Linked DNA regions of Cricetulus griseus. The protein of the gene in region 1 interacts with the protein of each later gene in a pairwise test. Links are inferred from orthologs where the notes say so. Each region holds a gene or a part of one and is shown in the gene's direction. Other genes may lie near its edges. The genes, in order: Nefl, Kifc3, Usp2, Ndn, Nme7 and Skil.

Evidence for each region.
Region 2: the proteins of Nefl (region 1) and Kifc3 interact in binary tests that used the Homo sapiens proteins (3 or more experiments, as listed by UniProt). The two-hybrid records come from large-scale screens. The link is inferred for Cricetulus griseus from reciprocal best matches to the Homo sapiens genes NEFL and KIFC3.
Region 3: the proteins of Nefl (region 1) and Usp2 interact in binary tests that used the Homo sapiens proteins (3 or more experiments, as listed by UniProt). The two-hybrid records come from large-scale screens. The link is inferred for Cricetulus griseus from reciprocal best matches to the Homo sapiens genes NEFL and USP2.
Region 4: the proteins of Nefl (region 1) and Ndn interact in binary tests that used the Homo sapiens proteins (3 or more experiments, as listed by UniProt). The link is inferred for Cricetulus griseus from reciprocal best matches to the Homo sapiens genes NEFL and NDN.
Region 5: the proteins of Nefl (region 1) and Nme7 interact in binary tests that used the Homo sapiens proteins (3 or more experiments, as listed by UniProt). The two-hybrid records come from large-scale screens. The link is inferred for Cricetulus griseus from reciprocal best matches to the Homo sapiens genes NEFL and NME7.
Region 6: the proteins of Nefl (region 1) and Skil interact in binary tests that used the Homo sapiens proteins (3 or more experiments, as listed by UniProt). The link is inferred for Cricetulus griseus from reciprocal best matches to the Homo sapiens genes NEFL and SKIL.

Annotation. Positions count from the first base shown.
Region 1 is NW_023276807.1:223,081,444-223,086,785, forward strand, and holds the start of Nefl (neurofilament light polypeptide), read left to right. Parts: upstream 1-2,090; coding exon 2,091-3,137; intron 3,138-3,997; coding exon 3,998-4,122; intron 4,123-4,524; coding exon 4,525-4,844; intron 4,845-5,290; coding exon 5,291-5,342. UniProt on the Homo sapiens protein: Neurofilaments usually contain three intermediate filament proteins: NEFL, NEFM, and NEFH which are involved in the maintenance of neuronal caliber.
Region 2 is NC_048596.1:171,330,661-171,335,352, reverse strand, and holds part of Kifc3 (kinesin-like protein KIFC3), read left to right. Parts: intron 1-3,780; coding exon 3,781-3,919; intron 3,920-4,692. UniProt on the Homo sapiens protein: Minus-end microtubule-dependent motor protein. Involved in apically targeted transport. Required for zonula adherens maintenance.
Region 3 is NC_048597.1:155,789,623-155,793,422, forward strand, and holds part of Usp2 (ubiquitin carboxyl-terminal hydrolase 2), read left to right. Parts: intron 1-681; coding exon 682-793; intron 794-884; coding exon 885-995; intron 996-1,502; coding exon 1,503-1,567; intron 1,568-1,751; coding exon 1,752-1,855; intron 1,856-1,942; coding exon 1,943-2,023; intron 2,024-2,109; coding exon 2,110-2,188; intron 2,189-2,378; coding exon 2,379-2,486; intron 2,487-2,815; coding exon 2,816-2,936; intron 2,937-3,511; coding exon 3,512-3,599; 3' UTR 3,600-3,800. UniProt on the Homo sapiens protein: Hydrolase that deubiquitinates polyubiquitinated target proteins such as MDM2, MDM4 and CCND1. Isoform 1 and isoform 4 possess both ubiquitin-specific peptidase and isopeptidase activities.
Region 4 is NC_048596.1:135,134,076-135,137,938, reverse strand, and holds Ndn (necdin), read left to right. Parts: upstream 1-2,072; coding exon 2,073-3,050; downstream 3,051-3,863. UniProt on the Homo sapiens protein: Growth suppressor that facilitates the entry of the cell into cell cycle arrest.
Region 5 is NC_048598.1:27,936,338-27,941,608, reverse strand, and holds the end of Nme7 (nucleoside diphosphate kinase 7), read left to right. Parts: intron 1-3,867; coding exon 3,868-3,999; 3' UTR 4,000-4,014; downstream 4,015-5,271. UniProt on the Homo sapiens protein: Possesses an intrinsic kinase activity. Displays 3'-5' exonuclease activity with a preference for single-stranded DNA. Does not seem to have nucleoside diphosphate kinase activity.
Region 6 is NW_023276806.1:119,740,418-119,745,864, forward strand, and holds the start of Skil (ski-like protein), read left to right. Parts: upstream 1-1,757; 5' UTR 1,758-1,893; intron 1,894-3,457; 5' UTR 3,458-4,110; coding exon 4,111-5,199; intron 5,200-5,447. UniProt on the Homo sapiens protein: May have regulatory role in cell division or differentiation in response to extracellular signals.

The DNA of each region.
Region 1 (5,342 bases):
TACATGGAGCTAGCTTGAGGAAAAATCTGCAGTTTTTCATACACACACACACACACACACACACACATATATACATACATATATATATATATATATATATATATATGGGAATAATAGGAAGCAAGGAGAGCTATGACTTATTCAAGATCTCTCTCTCTCTCTCTCTCTCTCTCTCTCTCTCTCTCTCTGTGTGTGTGTGTGTGATGTGTGCGTTTCTCCCCTTTAAGTCCTCTTGATCACTGATGAATATGAAAAAGGATATGCAGGCTACAGAGAACTATCTGAATAGTACTTGACCCTATATGCTGGCTTCGTAAGTCGCAGGCAGCCTGGCGACTTTAGGCTTGAAAGCATAGAATGTATAATCGGGGTGGGCTTCTAATATGGCTTAGACTTAACAGATTTAAACTACCAGCAACCCCGTGGGAGTCCTCTGCTTCAGTCGGTTCCTCTTCCATTTAGGGGACGAGTTATCAGAATCACAGCAAGTGTAAGATGAGAAAAGAACTTGCAGAATAAACCTCACCTCACCCTCTTTTCGGTTTCCAGAAGCGACCGTGCACAGCTCCAAAAACTTCACTTCCCTATTTGAAAACCGTTATCCATACTCCCTTATTGGGCCATTTAAAGGAAACAGTACGCTAGTGGTATGTTGAACAAATTAAACAAAACGCCAAATGCTTACTTCAAAAGCGGTTTTAGTTACTTCCAACGAATCTGAATCTCTGCAGTATCTTTTCGAAACTGCAGGAACTCACAGCTTGAGTATGAAAGTGCTGCACTCATGTGCGTTTGGCTTGCCCACTCTGGTATCTGGGGTATCTGAGTGCTTCCCGAAGGAAGTCCATAGATTCCCTATTGCATCTGTTACCTATGAATTTCAGCCGGCTATTTATTTTCATTCCGCTTCCAGGCTGAATTCTTTTCCTAGGAGACCACACCCAGAGCTGGCAGCTGTTCGCAGCAGCGGTTTCTCCCCTCAAGCTTTAAGAAAAAAAAAAAAAAAACCTGCCACCTGCATGGCTTGTCGAAACCATCAGGTTGGGGTACCACACAGGTGTAAAAGAGGGGAAGAGGCTTTTGATGCGAAAGAAGCCGGAATAGATCAGTGTGCACACGGGCACCCTGAAGTTCTTGCGCTGCAGAGTGCGTCTTTGCCTTGCAAGTCTTTCTTTGCCTGATTTGTTTCAACCCCATCCCAAGCATTTCAGGCTTCATTCCCCACAAAGAAAGGAGAAATTTTATGAAAGGTGCCAGACAAATTAACTGCTTCCTGTAAAGGTTTTAAAATGTTAAAATGACCACCCGCTGTCCTGAGGTCTCAAGGGTGTTTGGTGGGGCATGTCCCCCATGTGTTGAGAAACGGAGTGATAAGGCAAAATAAATAAAAGGAGGCAGGAGAAAGGGAGGAGAATATAAGAAAATGTCAGAAAATAGCTACAAAGACATGCAAAACTTTCCTGCAGGAATGTCGCATGGACGCTACCCTCAGCTATTGTCAGTAACCTAACAGCCCCAGACTCAACACCCGGCTACGTAAACACAAAGCAGGATGCTTAAGAGGGTCCCTGGTGGAGAAAGGGCGAGCTAAGGGTGGGGTGGGGTCAGGGTGTCTTTGAGACATTGGATATTAAAAATTGATGTGTCAGTTTCGGGAGCGAGAGCCTTTTATCTGGAACATTTAAAGATCCGAGTGATTGAGGGCTTTAGGTATTAGTAGGCAGAGTGGGCTGGGGGAGTGGGAAAGGAAAAGGAATGAACAGGGAGGTTGTGGGGGTCTCATAGAAAGTGGAGGGTCTCAGAGCAAAGCTGCCAGGCGGAAGCCGCACTTCGCCAGCTGCCTGTCGCTCGCCCCCGCCCTCGCTTTTGCGCAGAATCCTCCCCTTGGCTGCTGCAGCGCACTGCCCCCACTGGCCTGCGCACCGCGATCGATCGCAGTCTGCGTCAGAGTCCTGGAGTATAAATAGAGGTGGCAGGACCGCGCCGAGCCGCACACAGCCATCCATCCTCCCATTTCCCTCTTCTTCCCCGTTTTTCTCTCTAGGTCCCCCATCTCCGCTCCTGGCCGGAGGGGCACACCGGCCGCCACCATGAGTTCGTTCGGCTACGACCCGTACTTTTCGACCTCCTACAAGCGGCGCTACGTGGAGACGCCCCGGGTGCACATCTCCAGCGTGCGCAGCGGCTACAGCACGGCGCGCTCCGCGTACTCCAGCTACTCCGCACCGGTCTCCTCCTCGCTGTCCGTGCGCCGCAGCTACTCGTCCAGCTCCGGCTCGTTGATGCCCAGCTTGGAGAACCTCGATCTGAGCCAGGTAGCCGCCATCAGCAACGACCTCAAGTCGATCCGCACGCAGGAGAAGGCACAGCTCCAGGACCTCAACGATCGTTTCGCCAGCTTCATCGAGCGCGTGCACGAGCTGGAGCAGCAGAACAAGGTCCTGGAAGCCGAGCTGTTGGTGCTGCGCCAGAAACACTCAGAGCCGTCCCGCTTCCGCGCCCTGTACGAGCAGGAGATCCGCGATCTGCGCCTGGCGGCGGAAGATGCCACCAACGAGAAGCAGGCGCTGCAGGGCGAGCGCGAGGGGCTGGAGGAAACTCTGCGCAACCTGCAGGCGCGCTACGAGGAGGAGGTGCTGAGCCGCGAAGACGCCGAGGGTCGGCTGATGGAAGCCCGCAAAGGCGCCGATGAGGCCGCGCTCGCCCGAGCCGAGCTGGAGAAGCGAATCGACAGCCTGATGGACGAGATCGCCTTCCTGAAGAAGGTGCACGAGGAGGAGATCGCCGAGCTGCAGGCTCAGATCCAGTATGCGCAGATCTCCGTGGAGATGGACGTGTCCTCCAAGCCCGACCTCTCCGCTGCCCTCAAGGACATCCGCGCTCAATATGAGAAGTTGGCTGCCAAGAACATGCAGAATGCCGAAGAGTGGTTCAAGAGCCGCTTCACGGTGCTGACCGAGAGTGCCGCCAAGAACACCGATGCTGTGCGCGCTGCCAAGGATGAGGTGTCCGAGAGCCGCCGCCTGCTCAAGGCTAAAACCCTGGAGATCGAAGCATGCCGGGGTATGAACGAAGCTCTGGAGAAGCAGCTGCAGGAGTTGGAGGACAAGCAGAACGCAGACATCAGCGCCATGCAGGTATGGCACGAGTTCAAGCACAGTGGGGGCGGGGAGGCTGCACAGTCCGGGTGCAGGGTGCACCCAGAGAGTGAACGCTAGGGGGTCCTCGAGCCTGGAGCTGCTATCAGAGGGTTTGGCTTCCGGGAGGTTGTGGAAAGGGTGGGGCACTTGGAGGGGGCGGGGCGCCACTGCGGCTTGCTGTGTTCTTAGGGATGGGTTGGGAGGAGGGGAGGAGGGAGTTGGAGTTGGGCGTGGCCACTAGTCTGATGCTTACTCTTTACTGACCACTCAACTCAAAGTTAACCTGGCACTTTGTGGATCTCCTGGTTAATAAATACAGTGGCTAGCTCTCACTAGTTCTGGATCACCCAGCTTTGGAATAGTTTTGTTTTTTAACAGGGACACTAGAATACAGTCAGAATATTTAAGCCAATTATCGCAACCTATTTATTTATTTATTTATTTATTTATTTATTAGTCCTCATCTTCAGGGGAGTAGAAACAGAGTTGTGGAAAGCATGTGACCTGGCTAAAAGACAGAAGTGTGACAAAGGGTTTCTTTCTTTCTTTCTTTCTTTCTTTTTTGTTTTCTTCCTTTTTTAAAAAATCAATTTGGTATTTTTTAGACATTTTCCCATAACCAATAAACTAAAGAAAATTTAAAAAGTTGTTTACATCAGTCCACCTTCCTCCCTCCCCTTCTCATGCATCACTAGACTGAACATTTTAGGCCATAAAACCATGCAGTTATTTTAAGGGAGATTTTATTGAAGGTGCACACTCTGGAGTTAACTGAAGCTAGTCCTTACACCAACATCACAGTAAAATAAAAGCAGTAGAGATTTGTGTTTTGAAAATCTAAAACAATCTTCCAACAGGACACTATCAACAAATTAGAGAATGAGTTGAGAAGCACGAAGAGTGAGATGGCAAGGTACCTGAAGGAGTACCAGGACCTACTCAACGTGAAGATGGCCTTGGACATTGAGATCGCAGCTTACAGGTAAAACTGGAATGGAGCAGGCAGTGGGCATGGCACCTCAGAAAAGATCAGATAACCAGAGTCTGGGCAGAGTTATGTTGAATCACAAGTGTTCTAGAGTAGCCCTACTTTGGAGTTCCTCCAAGAAGGTACAAACATATAATGAATTGACCCTGAAGCAATGTAAGCCCTCTTCTTAGCATTTACATCTTAAATCTAATAGGGCTCCATAGAAGATTTGGGGGGGGCATGGTCTCTTGTGAAATCTCTATTAAATCGTAATTATGCCTAACCCTGCTTATTGCTGTGTTTGCTTTTGAGGTTGGCAACAGGGGAAAGTGATGCATGGTGGGCTTAGAACAAGTCGTGAACACACATCCAGTGTGGTCTAACTGTACCCTTCACCTGCCCCTTCTCCCCTAGGAAACTCTTGGAAGGTGAAGAGACCAGGCTCAGTTTCACCAGCGTGGGCAGTATAACCAGTGGCTACTCCCAGAGCTCGCAGATCTTCGGCCGCTCTGCCTACAGTGGCTTGCAGAGCAGTTCCTACTTGATGTCTGCTCGCTCATTCCCAGCTTACTACACCAGCCACGTCCAGGAAGAGCAGACAGAGGTGGAGGAGACCATTGAGGCTGTCAAAGCTGAGGAGGCCAAGGATGAACCCCCTTCTGAGGGAGAAGCAGAAGAGGAGGAGAAGGAGAAGGAGGAGGGAGAGGAAGAGGAAGGCGCTGAGGAGGAAGAAGGTATACAAAGACAAAACCCTTTAGAATTCCTAGTGCATACTGGCTGTGGGTATTCATTGGGAGATGGATGAGCTATGGGGCTTTGCCTACTACCTAGGGAGTTCTTTGTGAGTTTTGCAACAATAAAAGATACACGTGTGATGAGGACACACACATTTAATAAGCATCTATGAAAAATTGCAGAAGGTTCATATTTTAACTCTTGGTGGTTTAGAGAGGAGATAAGCTCCCAGCACCTGGAAGTTATATCCCTTTATTTAAATACATGTCTCCTGCCAAATTGTTCACCACAAGCACTGTCTGTAACGTGTCCTTCGGGAGAGTGGGGCAAGAGGTTTATAGACACACTCTGACAGTAGTGTTTAGTAACTTATAGAGTATGTGCTGAAATGTTCTGCCTGGACTTAACCTAGATTCGGATCTTGTATTTTCTTCTTATGTTCAAGCTGCCAAGGATGAGTCCGAAGACACAAAAGAAGAAGAGGAAGGTGGCGAGGG
Region 2 (4,692 bases), on another chromosome or scaffold:
TGCTTTGTTTTGAAATAGGATCTCATTATTTAACCCCATCTAGCCTTAAACTCATAGAGATCTACCAACTCAGTCTCCTAAGTGCTGGAATTAAAGGCATGTGCCACCATGCCCAGCTGTATTAGTTTGGTATGGCATTTGTTTGCTTTTAGATTTATTTTTATGTTTGACTGTTTGCCTACATATATGTGTATGCACCATGTGCATACCTGGTACCTGCTGCCTGAGGATGCCAGAAGGAATAGATCCCTGTCACTACCTTTTGGGTGCTAGGAACCAAATCTAGGTTCTCTATAGATCTTCAGATCTGCAGACACTCAGGCCTAGAACTAGTTACCAACATGAATTCCCATACAGGTGCGGGGAACAGAACCTGGGTTCTCTACAACAGCAGCAAGGGCTGAGCCATCTCTCTAGCACCCATGTCTTACTTAGGGTTTCTATTGCTGCAACAAAACCATGGCCCAAAAGCAAGTTGGGGAAGAAAGGGTTTATTTGTTTACACTTCAGCATCACTGTTCATCACTGAAGGAAGTCAGGACAGGAACTCACACAGGGCAAGATCCTGGAAACGGGAGCTGATGCAGAGGCCTTGTAGGGCAGCTGCTTACTAGCTTGCTTCTCATGGCTTGATCAGCCCACCTTCTTATAGGACCAGCAGCCCAGGGACAGCCTCATCCAACATGGGCTATTGAGAAAATGCCTTGCAGATGGATCTTAAAGAGGCATTTTCTCAGCTGAGGTGGCTTCCTCTGATGGTGCTATATAGCCTGTATAGTACAGGCTACATTAGTGTATTTTTTTAAGATTTGTTTTTATTTTTATTTTTATATGCGTGTTTGGCTGCATATATGTCTGTGTACCACATGTACATCTGCTGCCTGTGGAGGCCTGAAGAGTGTATTGGATCTTCTCAGACTGGAGTTACTGATGGTCGTGAGCCACCATGTGGGTACTGGGAATTGAACCTGAGTCCTCTGGAAGAACAGCCAATGCCCTTACCTGCTAAGTGGTCTCTTCAGTCCTCCTGCATTAGTATTTTAATATGTGCATTTGCTGAACAGATATTTATGGATTGGCTGCCTTATGCCAATGCATCTAGCACAGGTGCAGGGATGATGAGAAGGGAAATAGGGAAGATAGCCCACCAGAGAGTCACCAGTGACCTCAAATGCATAAGCACCAATGGGAATACCAGGAACAAAACTTTAGAGAATGAAGTGCCAGTGTTATCTGGGGGTGTTGCCCAGATTTCCCTGAGAGAGGACTCAAAATCCCTCTGGCTTCTTTCTTTATATTTGTTAGACAGGGATTCCCTGTGTAGCCTTGGCTGGTGTGGAACCCAATGGCAGATACTGCTGCCTCATGTTCCCACATGCTGTGGTAGGAGGCATAAGCCACCATGCCTGGCTTTTCTCCCAGCTTCTTTGGCCTCATGCACATATCCTGCCCTCCTAAGTGGCCGCTGTGCATAGCCGGGATGAAGCAAGTGCAGATAGATGGTAGTCAGGATGGGCACTGGGGGAACATACACCTTTGAGCTGTCCTTCCTCTGGCTGCTGCAGCCCTGGGCCACTGCTCTGGGCAGGACCCCAAGGGCGATGGCACCTCAGCCACAGCCTGTGTTTCACCGTGTTTCTTTATTCTTGTGAGATTCTTCTGGGAGCTGAGCTGCCCATACTTTTGTCCTTTGTGAGGTCCCAGAGGGTCTGGTGAGACAACAGTTAAAGAAACCAGAGGGAAGTTAAATCGGGAGGCTGTGGTGAGGAGCTGCAGCTCAGCTGGGTGGTGGCCCTGTTCTTGAGCTTTGATTATGGGGTGCTGGGCTGTGGCTGCTATGGAGGCCTGGGCTCAGCAGTTCTGCTCACATTCCACTCAGAAGCTGATAGCCTCTGGCTTCCAAGTTCATGTCCTTCCGGCCCCTGCCGAACTCTGCCATGTTTATGGATATGGATATGTAACAAAGTGTGTCCCAAGCACAGTGAAGCGACCTGCAGGTCACAGAGTCAGTCACTCCAGCCTTGGTCCATCAGCTAAAGCCTGAGCTGTACCCCCAGAGGCAGTACAGAAATTCCCAGCCCCTGGGGACATCTGTCCTTCCTGTGCTTCGGCCAGCAGCCCAGAAATAGTGTAAACTTTGCTCCTGTCTGAAGGCAAATGGAAACTTCCAGCTGCTGCCATCCCTGCCTCCCCCACCTCCTCCAACCTGCTCAAGATGGTGTGACAGTTGAAGGGTGGGGACAAAATTTAACTAAGTAGAATTTTCCTAAATACGAAGATGAGGGGGAAAGAGGCTAAGGTCGTGGCTAACCAGGCACCTGCCCCGGCCACTTTTCACTCTTGCAATTCTCTTGATTGGCCTTTTGATGCTCAAGTAAGTGGAGACTAGAGAAATTATAAACTCACCACTGCTATCTATGTGGCACTTCTTGTAGGCCAGGCACCTTAAATGTGCTTTACTTGTGGCTGCCATTGGTTTGCCCACTGGCACAAGTGGGCAGAGGTTAGTGGTTCTAGATTGAGACTGTGGAAGGAAACTGAGGGAGGGTGCAGAATTTGTCCACAGCCACCCAGCACACAGGTGACATGCTGTCTCATTGGGCTTTGGCTTCCCTACTACCCTGAGCATTAAAGAAATGTATGTGGCACCTGGCCTAGAGTGTTGGCAGAAACCTTAAATCCCAGTAGTGAGGAGGCAGAGGCAGAGGCAGATAGATCTCTGTAAGATCCAGGCAGCCAGGGCTACAGAGTGAGACCCTGTGTATATAAAAGAGTCATACTTGACTTGAGAGGGCACAAAGACATAAAAGCTTCTTACCAGATGTTTCCGTGGACATAAACCAAACCCAACTGTGTTTATAAGGTGAAAACTTCAAACCCCAGATGTCTCCAGAATGACCAGGAAGACCCTGTCTGCTCATCACCTTGCCTTTTCTCCTGTGTTCTCCAAGTTTAAATTGCTTTTGTTTCTATCTCAGTGAGTCTCTGTGTATGTACACCCCACACTGAGCACACACGGAGCCTGTGAGATCTCCAGTTTCATTTTCACCTTTATCTTGTGTATGACCCTCAAATGGGATCACGCTTTCCCACACTGTTCTGACCCTTGCTCGGTGTCATTCTCTGGGGGCTACAGAGGATGTCTTTGAATGAAGCACCCCTTTCCCACTCCCCCACTTGTCCGCTCCAGCCCAGCTACCTTTGCCTCAGTTCCTGACCAGCACATGGGTTCACATTGCCCCTGGATAGCCTCATGGGACAGAGCCTGAAGGAGGCAGGGTAGTCATTTTCCTGGTCAGATGGACTCATGTGCAGCCTCTGAGTCCTGGGAGGGCCATCCTTAGGTGGAAGGCCGACTGCCAAGGTGTTGCAGCAAATGACACTACAGAGGAGTTGCCTTCTATACACGACATGATGTGTATATTGCAGGACTGGATAGTTGCCTGTGATGATGAGGCTTGGTGTGAGCCAGTTGCTCACATGCCGATGACCCGTGCCCCACAGAGCCTGCAGGGATAGCACCAGCTTCACTAGGGGACCATAGAATCTTCTAATCTTTTTTTTTACTGGTAGAGAGACTGGCTACTGTGGGGCCCAAGAATAAACCATGGCCATCTTCCTGTGGGATGTTAGTCTGGCTTCCTCAGATCCCAGGCAGGCTTCTTTGTCCACGGTGGAGACAAGCTGCTGGGCCGGGGACCAGAGTGCTCATCATCCCCAGCGAGGGTCCCTCCTCAGCACAGTACCCTTCATGAGAGGATTCTGGTTGTGTCTTGGCAGCAGGCCCTGCAGGACAAGGGGTGCAAGAGCAAGAGTCAGGGGACGAAAGAAGACAAGCTCCTGAAGAGGCAGGCGCCGGCCCCCAAGCGGGACCGGGAGGCCCCAGAAGCTGGTGGCACCATGAATGTAGAAAACACAGGTAAAGGAGGTCAGCCCCACCATCAGCACACCTGGCTGCACACCTGGCAGGACACCTGGCTGAGCTGGTACAGGACACCTGGCTGAGTTGGTGCAGGACACCTGGCTGAGCTGGTGCAGGATGGAGTGGGGTCCCAGCTGTATGGTATTCTGCCCCACAGCTGGAGGTGGTTCAACCAGTCTGGCCACCTGACATGAACTTGAGACCCTAGACAGCCTCCTCCAGATCCAGATCCAGATCCAGATCCAGGGACAGCTATGTATCTGTCCTCTTTCTTGTCCTGCCCCTTGTCCCAGGGCCACCAGGGCTCCACCCAGTGATAAGAGACCTTGGCCACTGGAGGCTGGGGTTGGGTTTCCCTTCTTTTTGTCTTTTCCAAGCACCCATCTAAAGTAGGGCCCAGGAGCAGCCTCCCAGACGCCACTGGTGCCTGCTGCAGAGGCCAGTCTGTGTCTTTCTAGTCAGAGGATCTAAAGGGCAGGAATTTGTTCCCTTCCTTCAAGTCCAGAAAACAGCTTGTGGTTCCATTATCCACTGCCTGCTATGGCACCCAGGGCTGACTGGCTTTAGAAGGTTCTCCAGGCCCCTTTGAGGCCCTCTAGGCTTTCCATAGTAAGTTCAGGCCAGTGATCACAGAGAAAGATCCTCCTAGGAGGCAGCCTCAGGGCAAGGCCAGCAGTGTGAGGGAGAGTCTGTGTGTCTGAACTTGCTGTAGTTGTTGTTGGAGGTCACTCCCTCCTCTGAGTCTGGGCTAGTGCCTGCTCTGCATGAGT
Region 3 (3,800 bases), on another chromosome or scaffold:
CACTAGATTCTCTTGCTTAAGCCTCCCAAGCGTTGGGATTACAGGTATACAACACCATGCCTGACTCCAGTTTCAGGGTTCCATCTTGTTTGTTCATTGTTTGATTAATCCATGGGTTGGTTGGATAGTTGTCTTTTTTTTTTTTTTTTTTTTTTTTTTGAGACAGTCTCATGTAGCCCAAGGTGGCCTTGAACTCCTGATCCTTCTACCTTAACTTGGGTTCATGAGTGTGCACTACCATACCTAGCTCAAGGTTTTGTGTGTATGTGTGTGTGTGTGTGTGGTGTGTGTGTGTGTGTGTGTGTGTGTGTGTGTGTACAGTGTGTGTGTGTGTGTGTGTGTGTGTGTGTGTGTGTGTGTGTGTGTGTACACAATCCTGGGACTGGAAAGATGGCTCAGTAGTTGAGCGAGCCATCTGGTCTTACAGAGGACCATATTTGATTCCCAGAACCCATGTCTGGCAACTTACAACAACCTGTAAGTTTAGTTCCAGGGGTCCAGCACCCTCTTCTGGCCTCCTTGGGCACTCACAAGCATACATACATACATACATACACACACACACACACACACACACACACACATACACACACACACACACACACTAAAATAAAATTGCTTTTTACAAAAGCAAATATCTCACCTTTCCTCCACCCTCTCTCTGGTTGTTCCTTTCAACAGAATTTGCAAAACTAATCCAGACCATATGGACATCATCCCCCAATGATGTGGTGAGCCCATCTGAGTTCAAGACCCAGATTCAGAGATATGCACCACGCTTTGTTGGCTATAAGTAAGGGCCTCGAATGCATGTCCTCCCCCAAGAGGGGGTGGCACAAGCAGGGTGTTGGTAGATGCTGCTCACTCACTTTCTTTGGGTTCAGTCAGCAGGATGCTCAGGAGTTCCTTCGCTTCCTCCTGGATGGGCTCCACAATGAGGTGAACCGGGTGACTGTGAGGCCCAAGCCCAGCCCTGAGAATCTTGATCACCTCCCGTAAGTAAGAGGACAATGCTGCTGTGAAGTGAAGCCTTTGTGAACTTGAGATGCATACCACTTCTTTGAGAGTGGTGATCTCTCAAAGAGGGGAGAATCAGATTTGCTTTGTTGTTTTTAAACACGAGCTTTTTTATTTTGGTGACAGTAATGTGTGTGTTACTGGGGATTGTACATAAGGGCCTTGTACATGATGGGAGAGCACTCTGCCACTAAGTGACATCCTCAGGATTGAAGATTTTGAAGCCAGGCTTGGTGGTATATACCTGTAATCCTAGATTTCAAAAGGCTGAGGTAGGAGGCCAGCCTGGGCTAACCCTGTCTGAAGAAAACGATGGCTTGTGGGGTACAACTCAGTGGACTGTGTGAGGATCATGATCAAGGCCTGGGGTTCCATGCCCAGCACCACAAAAACCATATTGCATATAAATATATTCTAGTTGCTAGCACCTAAGCATATCAGGGTTTGAGCTCTAATGCAGCTGTCTTCCTGTCTGCGGTTCCCAGTGATGATGAAAAAGGGCGACAGATGTGGAGGAAGTATCTGGAGAGGGAAGACAGTCGAATTGGGGGTAAGTACACAGACAAGAAAATACCTGTGTCTGCTGTCCCCTACTTTTGCTTGAGAAGCCCTGAAGATCATTTTCCCAGGGAACCCTGCTTCTGCCTGTGACTCTCAAAACCAAGGCAAGAGTGGGGAGAAAAGGAAGGCAAGCACTCCGTATGTGCAGCTCACCCTGGCTTTCTCTTCCCCAGATCTCTTTGTTGGCCAGCTGAAGAGCTCCCTGACCTGCACCGACTGTGGCTACTGCTCTACAGTCTTCGATCCCTTCTGGGATCTCTCGTTGCCCATTGCAAAGGTATGCCCTGATGTGGCCCCGTGTCAGCTTCCCTCTTGGGCTTTGCAAGGTTATGGACAGCTGACCTGGACTTTTTTTTCTCTCCAGAGAGGTTATCCTGAGGTGACATTAATGGATTGTATGAGGCTCTTCACCAAAGAGGATGTGCTGGATGGGGATGAAAAACCAGTAAGTATCCTCAGTGACAGAAGCCAGCCACAGTGCCTGGACGGGGAAGGGCCACCTGGGTCTAGCCCCTGTTGTCTGTCTTTCAGACATGCTACCGCTGCCGAGCCAGGAAACGATGTATAAAGAAATTCTCTGTGCAGAGGTTCCCAAAGATCTTGGTGCTCCGTATCCTTAACCCCCCAGGGTTGGGACCTGACTTTTGGGGGTGACTAATGACAAGGGACCAAAAGGGGAGGGGAGCAGAGTAGGGTGAAAACAGTGTAGGCTTCTGTGTTTGTCTTCCTGCTTCCTGAGAAGAGCTGCTTCTCCAAGGACTCTCTTCCGGCTTTTTGTCCTTGACTGGAGACAATCACAGACCTGAAGCGGTTCTCGGAATCCAGGATACGAACCAGCAAGCTCACAACATTTGTGAATTTTCCACTAAGAGACCTGGACTTGAGAGAATTTGCTTCAGAAAACACCAGTGAGTCTACTTCAGGAGGACAGGCTTCCTGAAGCTGAGAGGCAGAGGCGGGAGGAAGCTAGCAAATTAGGAAAAGACTGGGAAGTAAGGATCCGGTGAGATACAGATCTGAGATTGAACCCCAAAACCACACAGGAGGAGAGAAGTGAATATTGACTCCTTCAAGATTTCCTTCTGACCTACACACACACACACACACACAAACTAAAATTAAATTTCAACCTTTTTTAAGTAGAAGCTGTTTTCTGTAAGGGAAAAGATAGGAAATAAAATGGAGGAAGGGCAGGAATGCCTCCAGGGCTTGACACCTGTCTGTGGTTCCTCCTCAGACCATGCTGTTTACAACCTGTATGCTGTGTCCAATCACTCCGGAACCACCATGGGAGGCCATTATACAGCCTACTGCCGAAGTCCAGTAACGGGCGAATGGCACACTTTCAATGACTCCAGGTGAGAGATGGGCTTCAGACAGGGCTCCTAGACAGCAGGCAACCTCATATGGCTTCCGTCTTGAATGGACAAAATCGAGGCCAAAAGCTACATCACACACACAAGACTATGCTGCCCTTTCTGGGTTTGTCCCAAGTGGCCACCGTGGCTTACAACTGTAACCAAACATCTGAGAGGTGAAAGCAAGATGATCAGGAGTTCAAGGTCATCCTCAGCTACTTAGCAAGTTTGAAGTCAGTCTGGGCTGTGAGACCTTGTCTCCAAAAAGGGAAAAAGGGTTGGGGGTGGAGCTGAAGAAATAGCACAGTGGTTAAGAGCTCTTACCACTATTGCTGAGGACAAGAGTTTATTGCCCTTAGCCATCATGGGCACCTACACTCAGTGCAAGTATCCACACACATACCACATACACATATTTAAAAATAATAAAAATCTTGACAAAAAAAAAAAAAAAAGGACGAGTCAGAGCTTAGATTGGCATAGAGAAGTTTGAGACATATCCAACCTCAGCCACTCAGCTCTGTGTCTCCAGTGACCTTCCTTGACAGGCTCTGACTTTTCCCTGATCTTTCCAGTGTCACACCCATGTCCTCCAGCCAAGTGCGCACCAGCGACGCCTATTTGCTCTTCTATGAACTGGCCAGTCCACCCTCCCGTATGTAGCATTGAGGAGCTACAGCCCTTCCCTCTTCCCTGTGGCAGCCCCACGTCCTAAGTTTTTTAAAAATTCAAAAAAAAAAACCACAAAAACAACAACAAAATCCTGACAAGTAAGAGAAAAATAAAGTAAAATAAAGCTGCCGAGCAGAAGTTGATACGGGCCTGGTCGGGGTCTGCAGCAAGGAGCCCGGTGCCTCTGAGCCA
Region 4 (3,863 bases), on another chromosome or scaffold:
ATGTTTCTGTTTCAAGTGAAAATATTAAGTCTCAATAGAGAATGTTTAAGATGTTTTAAACTTAAGGAAATCAAGGAAAGGCTCCATTATTTCAGAGCAAGAAGGATGACCAAATCTAAGGACTTCTAATTGGGGCCTTCAACAATGGACATTGTAATTCGGATAGGTTGAGGGATTGTTAGCTTCAGATTTTCTCCTCTCAATCCTTTTAATTATACTCTGGAAATCGTCACCAATAGGATTCACCTCATTTATGAAAGACTGTTATACTTTATTAATAGAAACTTCACTTAAAATATATTGGCAAGTATTTAGCTGTGCTCCCAACATGGAACTAGTCTTTAGCAGAGTTGAATATTTTCTATAAACTCAGAGGATGTAGCAATAATAATTAAAGGAAGAATGGCACTGTGGAAACATGAAAATACACTATCATAAAATTTCTCTAATATCTTAAGGAGAAATATAAATGAAATCAAAGTGACCCAATAAATGTGGAAAGCTGAAATCTATAGATATTAAAACAATTGTAAATCAACTAGCTAAACATCCAGTTATGGATGAATGCATAAAATGTTATATATACATATATACGCATATATGAGTATAATTGTACATACAAGTATATTCATGTATGTGTTAACACATATATATGTATATATACATAATATGTATATATACTGTTCTCATAACTAATTTGATGTCTCATGTACAATATAATATTGTTTATTACTTGTGACAGCATGTATGAACTTGATGGAATTGTGTGAAGTGAAAAGGGCTATATATAGACAAAGCTTCCTGATCTCCAACATTTGTGGAAATGAGGGAGACATGACATCAAATAAGTAGAGAGTAGAAAATTGATTACCAAAGGCTGTGAAAGGAACATGGAGGATAAAGATTGCCTTCTGAAACAAGAACATAGTTAGGAACAATATTCTGTAGTGTACTATAACAAAGTGCAGTGGGTGTACTCAGCTATACATGTTTAAGGAGATAGAAAAAGGAATTTTAAATATCCCTAAAGGTTAAAGTGATATATGTGTTAATTATGCAAGTTTGCTTACTGCATATTGTGCTTGTGTATAAAGACAAACTCTTATTTGTGTCAATTATATGTGTATATTGTGTAAGTGTATGCAAATTTATGAGAAGGGTGTTGTGTATCCTGCTCTATTGTTCTCTACCCTATTCCTTTGAGACAGGATCTCTCACTGAACCTAAACTTGGGCTGGTTTCTGGCAAATGCCTGTAATTCTCCTAATTGTACCTCTCAGAGCAGGGTTTACAAACACAGACTATGCCATTACATTTTTTGTGAGTCTTAGGGATTTGAACTAGGGTTCTCACACTTGCACTACAAATGCTCTTACCCATGGACTGAGCCAATTCCCATCCCAATAAAAAAATGTTTAAACACACACCAATTATGCTATATAATTTTATTACTTCCAAAACATTCAAATTCCACTTGGGCTGATTTCCAGTGTCTGTAATGACACTTTATATTCTTCCGTATTGGATCTGGACTCAGGTTTGGTAAAGATTTGCTCTATTAATTTTTCAACATTCCAATCTTAAACATCACATTATCTTCACAATGCTCGCACTTCCAAAAAAAAAAAAAAAAATCAAAAACTCATTACTGTCTCACTCTTTTGTAGAAAGTCCAAGCTCTCTAGCCAGTCTACCCCCTTTCACACAAAAACTCAAAGGTGCTCTAACTTGACTTCACCATCTCAGCTGCATCTTTCTACTTAAACTTGCTCCTTCCCCATCACCATCTCTTTCTAGCTCACCCAGGAGACCTGGAGATCTTTCCCATTAGTTTAGTGGTACCCTCCCTCAGACCCCAGTGGTTGGGCTTTGCATCTCAGCTCCTATCCAGCCCTACCACCCTTCTGGCTTGCCAACACGCATGCGCAGTGTCAAGTCCGCCCCGCCCGGCCGCTGCTGCGGAAGGCACAGCTCTCAGTAAAGCGCACTTCCTCTGCTGGTGTCCACTGAGGGAGTGCTGGTTCCAAGAGCTCCAAGTCGCAGCGGTCCTGCTCTGATCAGAAGGCGCAGACATGTCGGAACAAAGTAAGGACTTGAGCGACCCTAACTTTGCACCTGATGCCGCCAACTCCGAGGTGCAGGAGAGCTCTGAGATTCCGGTGGGGGTCCCTCCTCCCACATCTCCAGCCGCGATCGTCGCAGAGGCACCAGAAGCTCCTGAAGGCCCTATGGCAGCCCGGCAGGCCTCGCCGCCGCCTCCAGAAAGGTTAGAAGATATTGACCCTAAGATTCTGGAGCAGGCCATAGAGGAGGGCCGCGCCCACAATCCCGATAGCCCGGTCCGTCAGCTGCCAACACCACCCGCCCCGGCCCAGGTGGTGCAGAAGGCGCACGAGCTCATGTGGTACGTGTTGGTCAAGGACCAGAAGAGGATGGTCCTCTGGTTCCCAGACATGGTGAAAGATGTCATGGGCAGCTACAAGAAATGGTGCAGAAGCATCCTCCGGCGCACCAGCCTCATCCTTGCCAGAGTTTTTGGGCTGCACCTGAGGCTGACCAATATCCACACGATGGAGTTCGCCCTGGTCAAAGCCCTCAGCCCAGCAGAACTGGACAGAGTGGCGCTGAACAACCGTATGCCCATGACAGGCCTCCTGCTCATGATCCTGAGCCTCATCTACGTGAAGGGCCGCGGGGCCAGAGAGGGAGCCGTCTGGAATGTGCTGCACATCCTGGGACTGAGGCCCTGGAAGAAGCACTCCACCTTCGGAGACGTGAGGAAGATTATCACCGAGGAGTTCGTCCAGCAGAATTACCTGAAGTACCAGCTTGTTCCCCACAGCGATCCTCCTGAGTACGAGTTCTTCTGGGGGTCCAGAGCCAACCGTGAAATCACCAAGATGCAGATTATGGAGTTCCTGGCCAGGGTCTTTAAGAAAGATCCCCAGGCTTGGCCCTCCCGCTACCGAGAGGCTCTGGAGCAGGCCAGAGCTCTGCGGGAGGCTAATCTTGCTGCCCACTGCCCCCGCAGCAGTGTCTCTGGTGATTAGGAAGGTCCCCAGCATGTTGATAATTTCTGACCCATACTTGGGCTGTATAAGGGTGGGGTTGGGTCATTAGAGTATTCCACATTCACAGTGCAGTATTTCATGTGTAACCTTTAAGTTTTCCTTACAGTGCTTTTGTACCTTTCAATGCAATATATTCATTTGTGTTCGCTTGGAGCGTGTTAAGGATTTATGCATGTGCGTTTACAAGTAAGCAAGTGGATGCTTTCACTTCTGTGCTTTTTTGTACAAGAGATGTGCTGTGCTGAACCTGTGAAATCCATTGAGATGTTGTGTATCTATTCTTTGTATGAAAGTGATGATCTGTATCAACATAAAAGCCCAGGAGAGTTAGGAGGTGAGCAAAGCAGGCCTGACCAGAGAAAGGTCAAGGGCCCTCTTATATGAACTCAACTGGCACAGGAAGCATCCCTGTGGAATGGACTGATTTGAACTGGAATGTTCTCAGTGTAGGCACTTAGCACACCCTACCAAACATGTATACAACCCCACCATAAATAAACTTTGAAGTGAGCATTAAAGATCCTTGTGGAATAATTTCTTTGGGGGGGTATTTATTTTGTGGGAAGGGGGGTTGGGATGGGAGGGAATGAGGAAGATCTGCCCATGCACAGCATGCACAAACATGGTGTTCAACTAAAAGAGTGGAAAACCATTACCCAAGACCACTCAGGGTTACAGCTTTATTTTTCTATTTAATCAAACTGGTGACACTTCAAAGACTTTGACATTTAAGGGGTGTAATAATCAAAGAAAAGTATCTTATCACATCACATGGGGATAATTAATAACAGG
Region 5 (5,271 bases), on another chromosome or scaffold:
CAAACCTAAGTCTGTCTCATGTTCCAAACCTAATGCTTTTTTTCACCAGAAAACTAAAAGCAAGATGGCTAAACAATTTAAATACAAGAGCCAGTTGTTGATTTATTGGTAAGACTCTAAGACCACTACTAGACAGATGTAATTTTATGGATGGTTTGCTGGAGCCCACTATGGGTGAGCATGAGAGGGTTTTTTGTTTTTTTGTTTTTTTTTTTCTATGCATAACAAACAGTAGCTCCCTTGGCTGTGGAAAACAGGATCCATCAAAGGTTTCTGAACTGAGAAATGACTCGGTAAAGTAGAGTTCCCTCAACCAAAGATGGAAATTCAATGTGAATAGGAATGGAAACATATGCTCTGCTCATCCACTAAGAAGTCTAAAGGACACAGTAGCCCAGATATTTAGAAATGTCCTACTGTGAGCAGCAATCCATATCTACATGAATACCATTCTTCCACAGCCTTTGCTCTGTGCGAACATTGGCTTGTATTTTATGTTAGTTATTCAATCTCCAGTGGCTAGATATTCAATACACTGTACTCAAAAAAGTAATGACAATACATTAAGGGATAGCTCTGTGGCTAATATTTTAAGTACATAGAGTGCATCATGACTCAGACTGTATCTGGGTTTAAACTCCAGAATTGCAACTTGCTTGATATTTAAGAAAGTTGTTTAAACTCTTGTACCTCGATCCTTCATTATAAGACTAGGATAATAATCATAATACTTATTTCAGAGGACAGAATCAGGCACAAATGTTTGTGTTAAACCAATATGAGCAGATTAAATCAGGGACTGGAGAGACGGTTCAGCCCATGCTGCTCCTGCAGGGGACCCAAGTTTGAGTCCCAGCTCACGACTGTCTGTAACTCCTGCTCCAGTGACACCTCTGCTCCCCATAGGCACCTGCACTCACAGCCACACATCCAGCACACACACACACACACACACACACACACACACACACACACACACACACACACTTAAAAATGAAAACAAAATCTTTTTAAAATCTACTTTGATCATTGAAAAATAAATGTATTAGAATTAAAAATGGCTATAATATATTTTTAAGAAAAGCTCCATTCTTTAAATTTAAATATCCTAAATAAAGGGAACATATATTACACTTTACCAGTGTGTGTGTGTGTGTGTGTGTGTGTGTATGTGTGTGTATAACTACTGTGTGTGTATATATGTGTGTATAATGTGTGTGAAATATATATATACACATCTGGTGTGTGTATATATACCAGTTTATAACGTCTCATAAAAGGTGCCATTTAAAATTGATCTTGTTAGATAGTTCCCTTCCTCATTGTAAAATACATGAAAAATTAAAAATAGAGATGGTAAGAGAGAGACTGAATATGAAAGACCTGGGCAACAGAAGAGGCGACGTACGTGTGTGTGTGTGTGTGTGTGTGTGTGTGTGTGTGTGTGTGTGTGTGTGTCTGGAGAGAAGGTAGAATGAACTCTATGGTAGGACTCCAGGCATCTAATGCTTCAGTGTCAAGCCAAGTCAGCAGCTAAGTCATGACGAGAGACTTCTGAAAGTGGATGGAAAAGAAGATGCTTAAAAGGACAGGGCTGATGGGGCCCACTCCATGAACACTTCCCAGCCCCCCAAGTTTATGTCCTAGTCTTGGAGACCTGCCTGTCTTCTGTTTCCCTTCTCTCTACATGTAGCCAAGGCATCTGTCCAGTGCTAAGATCCACCCAGCACAGAGGGGTGGGCCTTGGGACCAAGAGCCTCTGCAGAGTCCTGGTCTATGGCTTCTGTGTCCTTTGGGTGCTCAGTTTTCTTCACCCTTTTATTCCTCTCTTGCCACATCTATCACCCTGGAGCATCAACAAATGAACAGCTGGTTCATTCACCTGCTCTGAGTCCTCTACCGCAGCCTGAGTGGGGTGGGTCTCCTCTAGCCATCTGCACATGCTCAGATGTTCCCTCCTCCTCAGCCTCTACCCAGGGACAAAGAGGAATGGTTGTGACTTTCATGGAACACCTGATAGGTGTCAGGGTTTTTAGCTGCTTTTTACAAATTATACCCCAGCTGAGGTAAGACTTCAAGTGTAATTTCACTATAAGGTACAACTCACTCTGCTTTCACCACATAGAAAACACACAAAAATCTGGTTCAAACACTGTCCTTTTAAGAAGAAATGAGAAAAAGAAACTTCAGAGAGAGAGAGAGAGAGTTGCATTTGGTGTTTGAAACACAAGCCTGTTCCCTTGCAAGAAATCCAGTCTCTATGCTAGACCTAGCTATTTTGGTTTTCTTTTTTTTTTTTTTTTTTTTTCCAAGACAGGGTTTCTCTGTAGCTCTGGATGCTATCCTGGAACTCAGTTTATAGACCAGGATGGCCTTGAACTCACAGAGACCCACCTGCCTCTGCCTCCTGAGTGCTGGGATTAAAGGTGAGTGCCACCACCTCCCAACTAGACCTATACTTGTTCCTTTGGTTTTCCTTCCTCCATTCCTTCCTTCCTTTTTTTGTATTTCATTTCATTTTATTTTATGTGTGTTTGTGTTTTGTTTGCATATGTATCCGTGCACCACATTCATGCCTAGTCCCTACAGAGGCCAGAAGAGGGCACTAGATCCCTGGAACTGGAGTTATACATGGTTGTGAGCTGCCATGTAGGTGCTGGGAATTGGTCCCAGGTCCTCTGAAAGAGCAGCCAGTGCTCTTAGTCATTGAGCAAGCTCTCCAGACCCTCTTTTTTTTTTCTTTCCCAACCTCTCTTCTTACCATATAAACTCTGTTGCCTGTCACTTGGCAGCAAGTGAAACTCATGGATCATTTACTTTAGCAGCTGAGGTTTGAGAGGTGCAAGGTAGCTGAGCTGATAGGAAGGGACCAGAAAGCAGTTCTGTCTAGACAAGCAAACATCTCTACTTGCTGTGTCCTATAAGCAGAATCCAGATGCTGTTCCATTCAAAATAAGTAATGCTTGTCTTTATTTTTTCTAAATTTTATTTATTTAAAAATGTGTGTGCACACATGCGTGGGAGCGCATGCAAGCCATGTGTGTAGTTACCCACAGAGGTCAGAGGTATTGGGTCCCCTGAAGCTGGAGTCATAGGCAGTTGTGAGCCACCTGACATGGGTGCTGGGAATCAAAGTTGAGTGGCCTGGAAGAGCAGTATGCACTCGTGACTGCTGGGCCATCTCCCTAGCATAACTTGCCTTTATTTTTACTTTGATGTCTTCAGTAATGCTGATACTTCAATTTAAATGAGTATGACATTTTCCTGAGATTTTACCATGGTAGATTAGAAGGTAAACAAAGGTCCTTGAAATCCAGGGTAATGCCAGCAACCATTTCTCCATTAGCTGTGGCCTGTCATCAAGATGCAGCTCTTCCTTTTGATAACAGGGTCCAGAGAAGCTAGTTTGCCTTCTGACTCTTAAATTTGCCCTTCTTATAGAACATGAAAATATTTGTTATAGGCTTAAGATAAGTATTCTGTAGCTAAATGACAGTTATTAAAGATCAGGAAGGCACCCCATCATAAACTGGAAACAAGTTAGAAGACTGGCTCATCTAGATCTAGATCTACAACAGGAGCACTGTGCCATGCAGATATGTCCTCTAAAGAAGTGTGTGACTGAAACATTAACCTCTCAGAGTTAAACATCATTTAAAACCAGCAAATAAAAAGGTCCCCCGCTGATTTCATTTCTGAAAAGCCTGGAAGCGAAGAACCATAGCATTGTCAGAGTTTATTATGATCAAAAAGAACTGACAAGGGGGGAGGTATTAAAAGTAGCACAGGTGCAGGTGGCTGACTTTGATCAGGTCTCAAGCAAGGGAGAAAGTGTTCTTTCTGATTGGATGCATTTGTGTCTCTTAGCCCAACACATCTGATGCATCATTCACGCTAGTCACCGCCACAGCTGTCCAGGCTCCTCATCTACTTAGCTCTGAAAACCCGAGGAGGAAGGTGAAACTATCTACTCATTGGCCTTTGCTCTCTGCACTTTGACCCCAGCTCCTTGTCTTTGATCTGCACATTGTCCATTTCTTAGTGACTAAGTAAGCGTTTCTGAGGTAATAAGTAACTCTCTGTAGCTAATTAAAGGTCTTCTGCGAGAACTTAGAAAGGGGCCTAAACCATTGATGGCCTAATCAAATCCATCCTCTTTTATGAATTCATTCAGAAATATTACTGCTACTCCTCTTTTTGTCCGTTAGGAGTTGTGTTTCTATTCTGATTAGAAAAAAGCCAGAGGAGTAGTATAACAGGGAAAGTATTAGGCCTAGGGTTTTCAAAGACAAGTAGACTCAGCAGGTTTTCCAGATTGTTCCAAGCTTTTAAAGAACTTAAAAAGATTTTACTTCAAATGTTCAATGCCTCCAGCATAGTGGAGATATTGATACTCTGTGAGCAACTTTTTGTGAAGTAAAGGGGAAAGAAAGAATTTCCTACTCTTGATTAACCTGAACGTGAGGTCAACCACCCAGGAGCTACCAGACAAAATCCTGATGTCATCATTTCACTTGCCAAGTTACCTTCTGTCCTTGATTTAAGGGCACTACTTTAATCCCAGCGCTTGGGAGGCAGAGTCAGGCAGATGGATCTTTGTGAGTTACAGACCAGCCTGGTTTACAAGAGCTAGTTCCAGGACAGCCTTCAAAGCCACAGAGAAACCCTGTCTCGAAAAAAACGGGGGGGGGGGGGGGATAATTTCATTAACCAGGCAGAGATCTCTGAGTTCAAAGCCAGCTTGGTCTACAGAGCAAGTTTCAGGACAGCCAGGGCTACACAGAGAAACCCTGTCAAAAAAAAAAAAAAAAAAAGCTGTGAAGGAACAAACAAAATAATAATTTAATTTAAGAAAACATTATGTGTATGTTTCAAAGTTTACTGAGATAGATGAACTACTTGGTGTTGTTAGTAACTTGCTAAGGTCTTGTTGTGACGACTTTTTAATTTTTATTTCATGAGAATGAATATTTCCATATACATAAGTGCAGAGTATGTATGCATGGTACCCATGTAGGACAGAAGAGAGTACCAGATTCCTCGGAACTGGATTTGTAAACTACCATGTGGATGCTAGGAATTGAACCAGGGTCCTCTAAAAGAGCAGCAAGTGTTCTTAGCCACCTGGCATTTCTCCTCCCTTTGTGATTATTTAATTTTTTATTCAAATTAGAAACAAGCTTGTTTTACTTGTCAATCCCAGTTCCTTCTCCCTCCCCTCCTCCCATGCCCCCCAGTGACCCCCATCCCATCCTCTTTCTGCTCCCCAAG
Region 6 (5,447 bases), on another chromosome or scaffold:
GCAAGGTGACCAGGTGCTTAGTCTCAGGACTGTGCTGGCTTTCACCTCGGCTTTCCAGGCAGGCCTCTGAATATTCTGGCGGTTAGAACATCTATTCCTCCAGACTCGCAGATGCTGCTCTCCCCCCACTGGCTCTGCACAGAACATCATTATCTTTGCTGAGCTTCTGTCTCTATGGCAATAACAGATGGGAAGTGCTGTGGAATTATTCATGTTCACACAGGCAAGCAGTCAAGGAGCGGAGGGTAGGAGATGGGAGAGGGGCATGACCTGGGAGTACGAAGATGGGGACCGACAGGAGCTGGGGCGGGGGCGGTGAAGAGCTTTGTTAGACCTACTGTGGGGGGAAGAGAGGAGAAAAATCTTCGAGCACAAAAGTACTCCTAATTGGACAGCTGCAAATGTGGACCCAAACATGAGTAACCCCGAAGCGGTAAAATAAGTAACTAGGCGAAAAGAAAAAAAGGGGGGGAGGGGGAGTAGAGGAGGGGTGCGCGGCCGCCGAAGCTTAAGTTCCCTAAGTCTGCGCTATTTCAGTTCCTGGTCCTGCGGTGGGGTGGAGAAAAGGGGATTTCTTTGCTGTTTCGAAATGTGACGGACTAGCTCCACAGACTTGAATATTCGAACTGACTCTCTCCTGGGTACGTTGGCTAGGAACTCCCCCCACCCACCCGCCCGCCCGCCCGAGGTGGCAGCCGACAGCTCTAAAGTGGTTATCTTTCTCCACCTCCTACCGTCTCTGAAAAAAAAAAAGAAAAGAAAAACCTGAAAACCCCAAACGAAAGCGCTCAGTGAATTAGAACGGGTCACTTATGGAGGGCGAGAGCAGCTGGGGCAGCCAGGTCTGTCCCGGCGGGGTGGAAACGGCGGCCTCCCTTGACGATGGCGGCCGGGCGAGGCCACCCCAGCGCGGCCAGGCGGGGCTCAGGGCCGGCAGCTGGCAGGGCGGCGGCGGGAGGAGGCCCCACAGGGGCGAGGGCCCCGCGACGTCTGCGCGGCGGCCGTGGGGGGGGGAGGGGGAGCGGCGCGGGGGTCGCCGCCTCCGGGCGGGGGCGTCTGCGCGGCGGGCTCACCCCAGGGGTCGCGGCGGGGAGCCGCCCGCAGGCCACCTCCGGGGCGGGGCCGGGCGGCCAGCTGCGGCCGCGGGGGAGGGGGGGGTGGCCGAGCCTGATCGGGCGCGCCAGCTGCCGGGGTCGCGCACAGTGCAGCCCGCCGCGCCCTGCCCCCTCCCCCGCCGCGCGGCGGCCCAGCGGCCGGGGCGCCCCCGGGTCTGGCCCGTCTCCACACGGCAGCGGGCGTGGCGGGGCGGCCCCAGACAGCCGGCTGGGCGACTCGAGGAAGGAAGGAGGGCGGCGGGGGTGGGGCCGAGGGAACATCCTGTCTGCGCCGGGCACCGCAGACAGCGCCGTGCGCCAGCCGCCCAGACGGCGCGCCGAGCCAGCAGCGTGGAGCACGCGCCGGAGCGGGGAGTAGGGGGAGGGGGCGGGGGAGAAAACAGACGCACGCGCGTGCGCGGCTGAGGCCGCCGGGCGCGCGCCCCCGGCGGGGCTGGAGGGACGCGAGCGCGCAGCCTGAACCGCGCGGCCAGCGAGGAGGAGCCACAATAGGCCAGACGGCGCGCGCGCCCGAGGGACTGGCTGGCGCGGGGCCGCGCGGCGCCGCTGGCTTCGTTCCCTCCTCTCCCCCCCCCCTCCGCCGCCCTCGCTGTCCCCCGGGCGGCCGGAGACGGCGGCGGCGTCTGCGGGAAGCCGTGTCTCCGCAGTGACGTGGGCGGGCCGAGGGCCGGGTGACGTCAGAGGCTGTGTGTAGCGATGTGTGTGGGGTTCGGAGCGGCGCCGGCACAGCGAAGGCACAGCGAAGGCGGCGGGCGAGCGACGGCGACGGCGGGCACAGGTGCGGCCGCAGGTCTCGAGGGGACGAGAGGGGCGTGCGGCCTCTGGGGACGCTGAGGCGGCGGCGGGGGTGATGGGGAGGCCACAGACCCCCTGGACCTCCCCGGGGTGCGGAGGGCCGGAGTGGGGGCGTCCGGGATGCGTGGGGTCCCGGGCGGGGTCTCGGGCACAGGGCGCGCGGCGGGGGTCCCACGGGTGTACAGGCCTCGCGGGTCCTGGGACGGGTCGGCTGGCAGGGGATGGCGCTGCACTTGACCCGAGCGGCCGAGACCCGGGAGACCTGGACGCCGGTCATCGCCGCCATCCCCCGGCCGTCTGAGCTCCGCGGGGATGCCCCGGGCTGGCCCCAGCTCCGAGCGGCCGGCGACTCGGGCTTGCGGGCTTCCGGGCTTGGCGCCCAGCCTGCCCGCGCCCCTCTGGGTGCCACGGCTCGGGGGTAGGTGAAGGGGGTGGGTGGCACAGCCCTGGGGCGCCGAGGTAACCCCAGAGAACTTCCCGCGGACCGGCTGCGTGGGGATTTCCATCGGCGGCCCCCGCAGTGGGGCGATGTGGGGAGGGCACTTGGGGTGATCCCAGTCTCGGGTGGGGGTTGGGAGGACTCCTCCCTCTACTTCCTTCTGCCCCCTCTCACCTCGCCAGACGTCCGGAGTCCCCGGCTTTCCTGTCCTACCTCCCTTCGGTTGAAGATGGGTGGGTGTCTGCGTGGGCGCAGGGCTGTGGTGCGCCCCCGGGCTAGGTCATACCTCCTGCCCTTTCCCTTGGCTCGCCTTGGCTGAGGTGTCCCTGGAGTGGCGAAAGTCACAGTACGGCGGCTAGATGGCTTTCGGCGGTCATCCTTTGGGTTTGTGTAAACGTAAATCGCGGGGAGTTTAGAAAGCAAAGGTTTTTATTTATCGGCGTTCGTTGCATTTTCTCCCGAGGGGAGTGGAAAAAGATTTCTTTTTTCCCCCACTCTGCCTCCATTTGCATTCTTTGTGAGGTCTGTCTGCCTTGTGCTTTTTTGTCCCGGATTAGTCTTGCTCAAGGATGGAGATTTCCAGGCATGGAGTCTTACAGCTTTTGGCTTCCATTAAAGCAAATTCACTAACCTTTTAAAGGGAAAGTTTATTTTTTTTCCTTAATTTCAGAAATAGTTTATATTGACTAGATGAATTAATCCACTTGAGACTAACTTGGTTACATATGGTAGGTATATTAACATGTATCTGGTTCTTTTGGAGGGTGGAACCACATATTTTTTAAAATGAAATAAAAGCTAATTTTTTAATTAAAATGGCATAGTTGAGAAAGCCTCTGGTACTGAGTTTTATTTATTTGTATTCTAAATTTGTGCTCTTCCTTGTTCGGAGGGATATTATTTAATGTTCCTGTTATCCATCTTCTGGGCTGCTTCCTATTTAAATGAAGTTTCTTTTAGATAACTCGTGTTTGATTGAAGGAAATCACTCAAGTGTTACCTTTGGTAAAGTGAACTGAGTTTAAGATTAAGAAACTGGTTTTAAAGTGACCCTTTGGCCTCTGGAGCATATTGAGTTGTAACTCTCCCCACCCTTTCTCTTCTCCAGGTCAATTGAAAGAAGAATGAACTGTAATCCTTGAAGATAACTGGGCAGTTTTTTTTTTTTTTTTTTGGATTATAGAAGTTCAGATTCTTACTGGTGTTGGAGGTTTAGACAAGTCTTCAGTTTGTGGACACACAGCAGCAGACCACCATTTTCAGTGAAGATTAGCGCCCCCCCCTTTGGTTTCCTTGGCAAAAATTAAACCGTTGCATCATTGCAACTCCTGTTTGGGTGTGGTTTTAGGATATAGTAATGGCATACACTTTCCAATGCTTTGCTTAAAAGACAAGACCACCAAACTCTACCATTACACCAAACCTTGCTCATCTTGAATTCAGAAATTAGCCTTTTTTTTTTAATACAAATATCTGAAGAACTCAAGAAAACAAGACTTTCCTCAGAAGTCTGCTTATTGTTATATTCTTTATTGTTAGATACAAAATGAGAAGTTTTGTAGTATTTTCGGTTATCTCCTAAGGTATAACTAAAAAAAAAAGTTGCACAAATCTATCGAGAAAGAAAATTCATCTTTGCAAACTAAAAAAATTTCTAAGGGAGCCATAAGTATTTGTATACATTATCCCTTTCTCTTCAAATTAGAAACTGAGTACAACATGCCAATTGCAGACTTAATTATTTAAAACACCAGTGTAGCCATGGAAAACCTACAGTCCAATTTTTCCTTAGTTCAGGGTTCAAATAAAAAACTGAATGGAATGGAGGATGATGGCAGCCCTCCCGTGAAGAAAATGATGACAGACATGCATGCCAGTGGAAAAACGCTGACCAAGGTGAAGAAGGAACATTTGGATGACTATGGAGATGTATCAGTGGAGACAGATAGAGACCATGCTAAACGAAACTGTACTTCCATCCCCGAAACTTTAAATTTAAACCCCAGCCTGAAACACACACTGGCACAATTCCATTTAAGTAGTCAGAGCTCTTTGGGTGGGCCAGCAGCATTTTCTGCCCGATACTCCCAAGAAAGCATGTCGCCGACTGTGTTCCTGCCTCTTCCATCTCCTCAGGTTCTTCCTGGCCCTCTTCTCATTCCTTCTGATAGCTCCACAGAGCTCACACAGACTGTTTTGGAAGGGGAGTCTATTTCTTGTTTTCAAGTTGGAGGAGAAAAGAGACTCTGTTTGCCCCAAGTCTTAAATTCTGTTCTCCGAGAATTTTCACTCCAGCAAATAAACACAGTATGTGATGAGCTATACATATATTGTTCAAGGTGTACTTCAGACCAGCTTCATATCTTAAAGGTCCTAGGAATACTTCCGTTCAATGCCCCATCCTGTGGGCTGATCACATTGACTGATGCGCAAAGACTCTGTAATGCTCTACTGCGGCCTCGGACTTTTCCTCAAAATGGTAGCATACTTCCTGCTAAGAACTCTTTGGCCCAGTTAAAGGAAACTGGCAGTGCCTTTGAAGTAGAACATGAATGCTTGGGCAAATGTCAGGGTCTCTTTGCACCTCAGTTTTATGTCCAGCCTGATGCTCCCTGTATCCAGTGTCTAGAGTGCTGTGGAATGTTTGCACCCCAGACATTTGTCATGCATTCTCACAGATCACCTGACAAGAGAACTTGCCACTGGGGCTTTGAATCAGCCAAGTGGCACTGTTACCTTCATGTGAACCAAAAATACCTAGGGACACCGGAAGAAAAGAAACTGAAGATAATTTTAGAAGAAATGAAAGAGAAGTTTAGCATAAGAAATGGAAAGAGAACCCAGTCAAAGGCAAGTTTGCTTTTTTTAAGTAGTGATTTTGAATAGTGGTAATGGCTTCTTAATTCTGTGTCTATAGCTTTGTATTATGAAGCCAATGTCTCAGCTTACTCTTTAATAACAAAAAGCCATCTGTGTTGTGTTTTCCAATTTTGCCCATAAAGTGTTTTAAACTGTCTATTCCCACCTGAGAGAAGTAAATCTTTCCCATTTTACAGGTTAAGAGAATGAGCCTCTGAGTCTCAAGACTTTTCTAGACT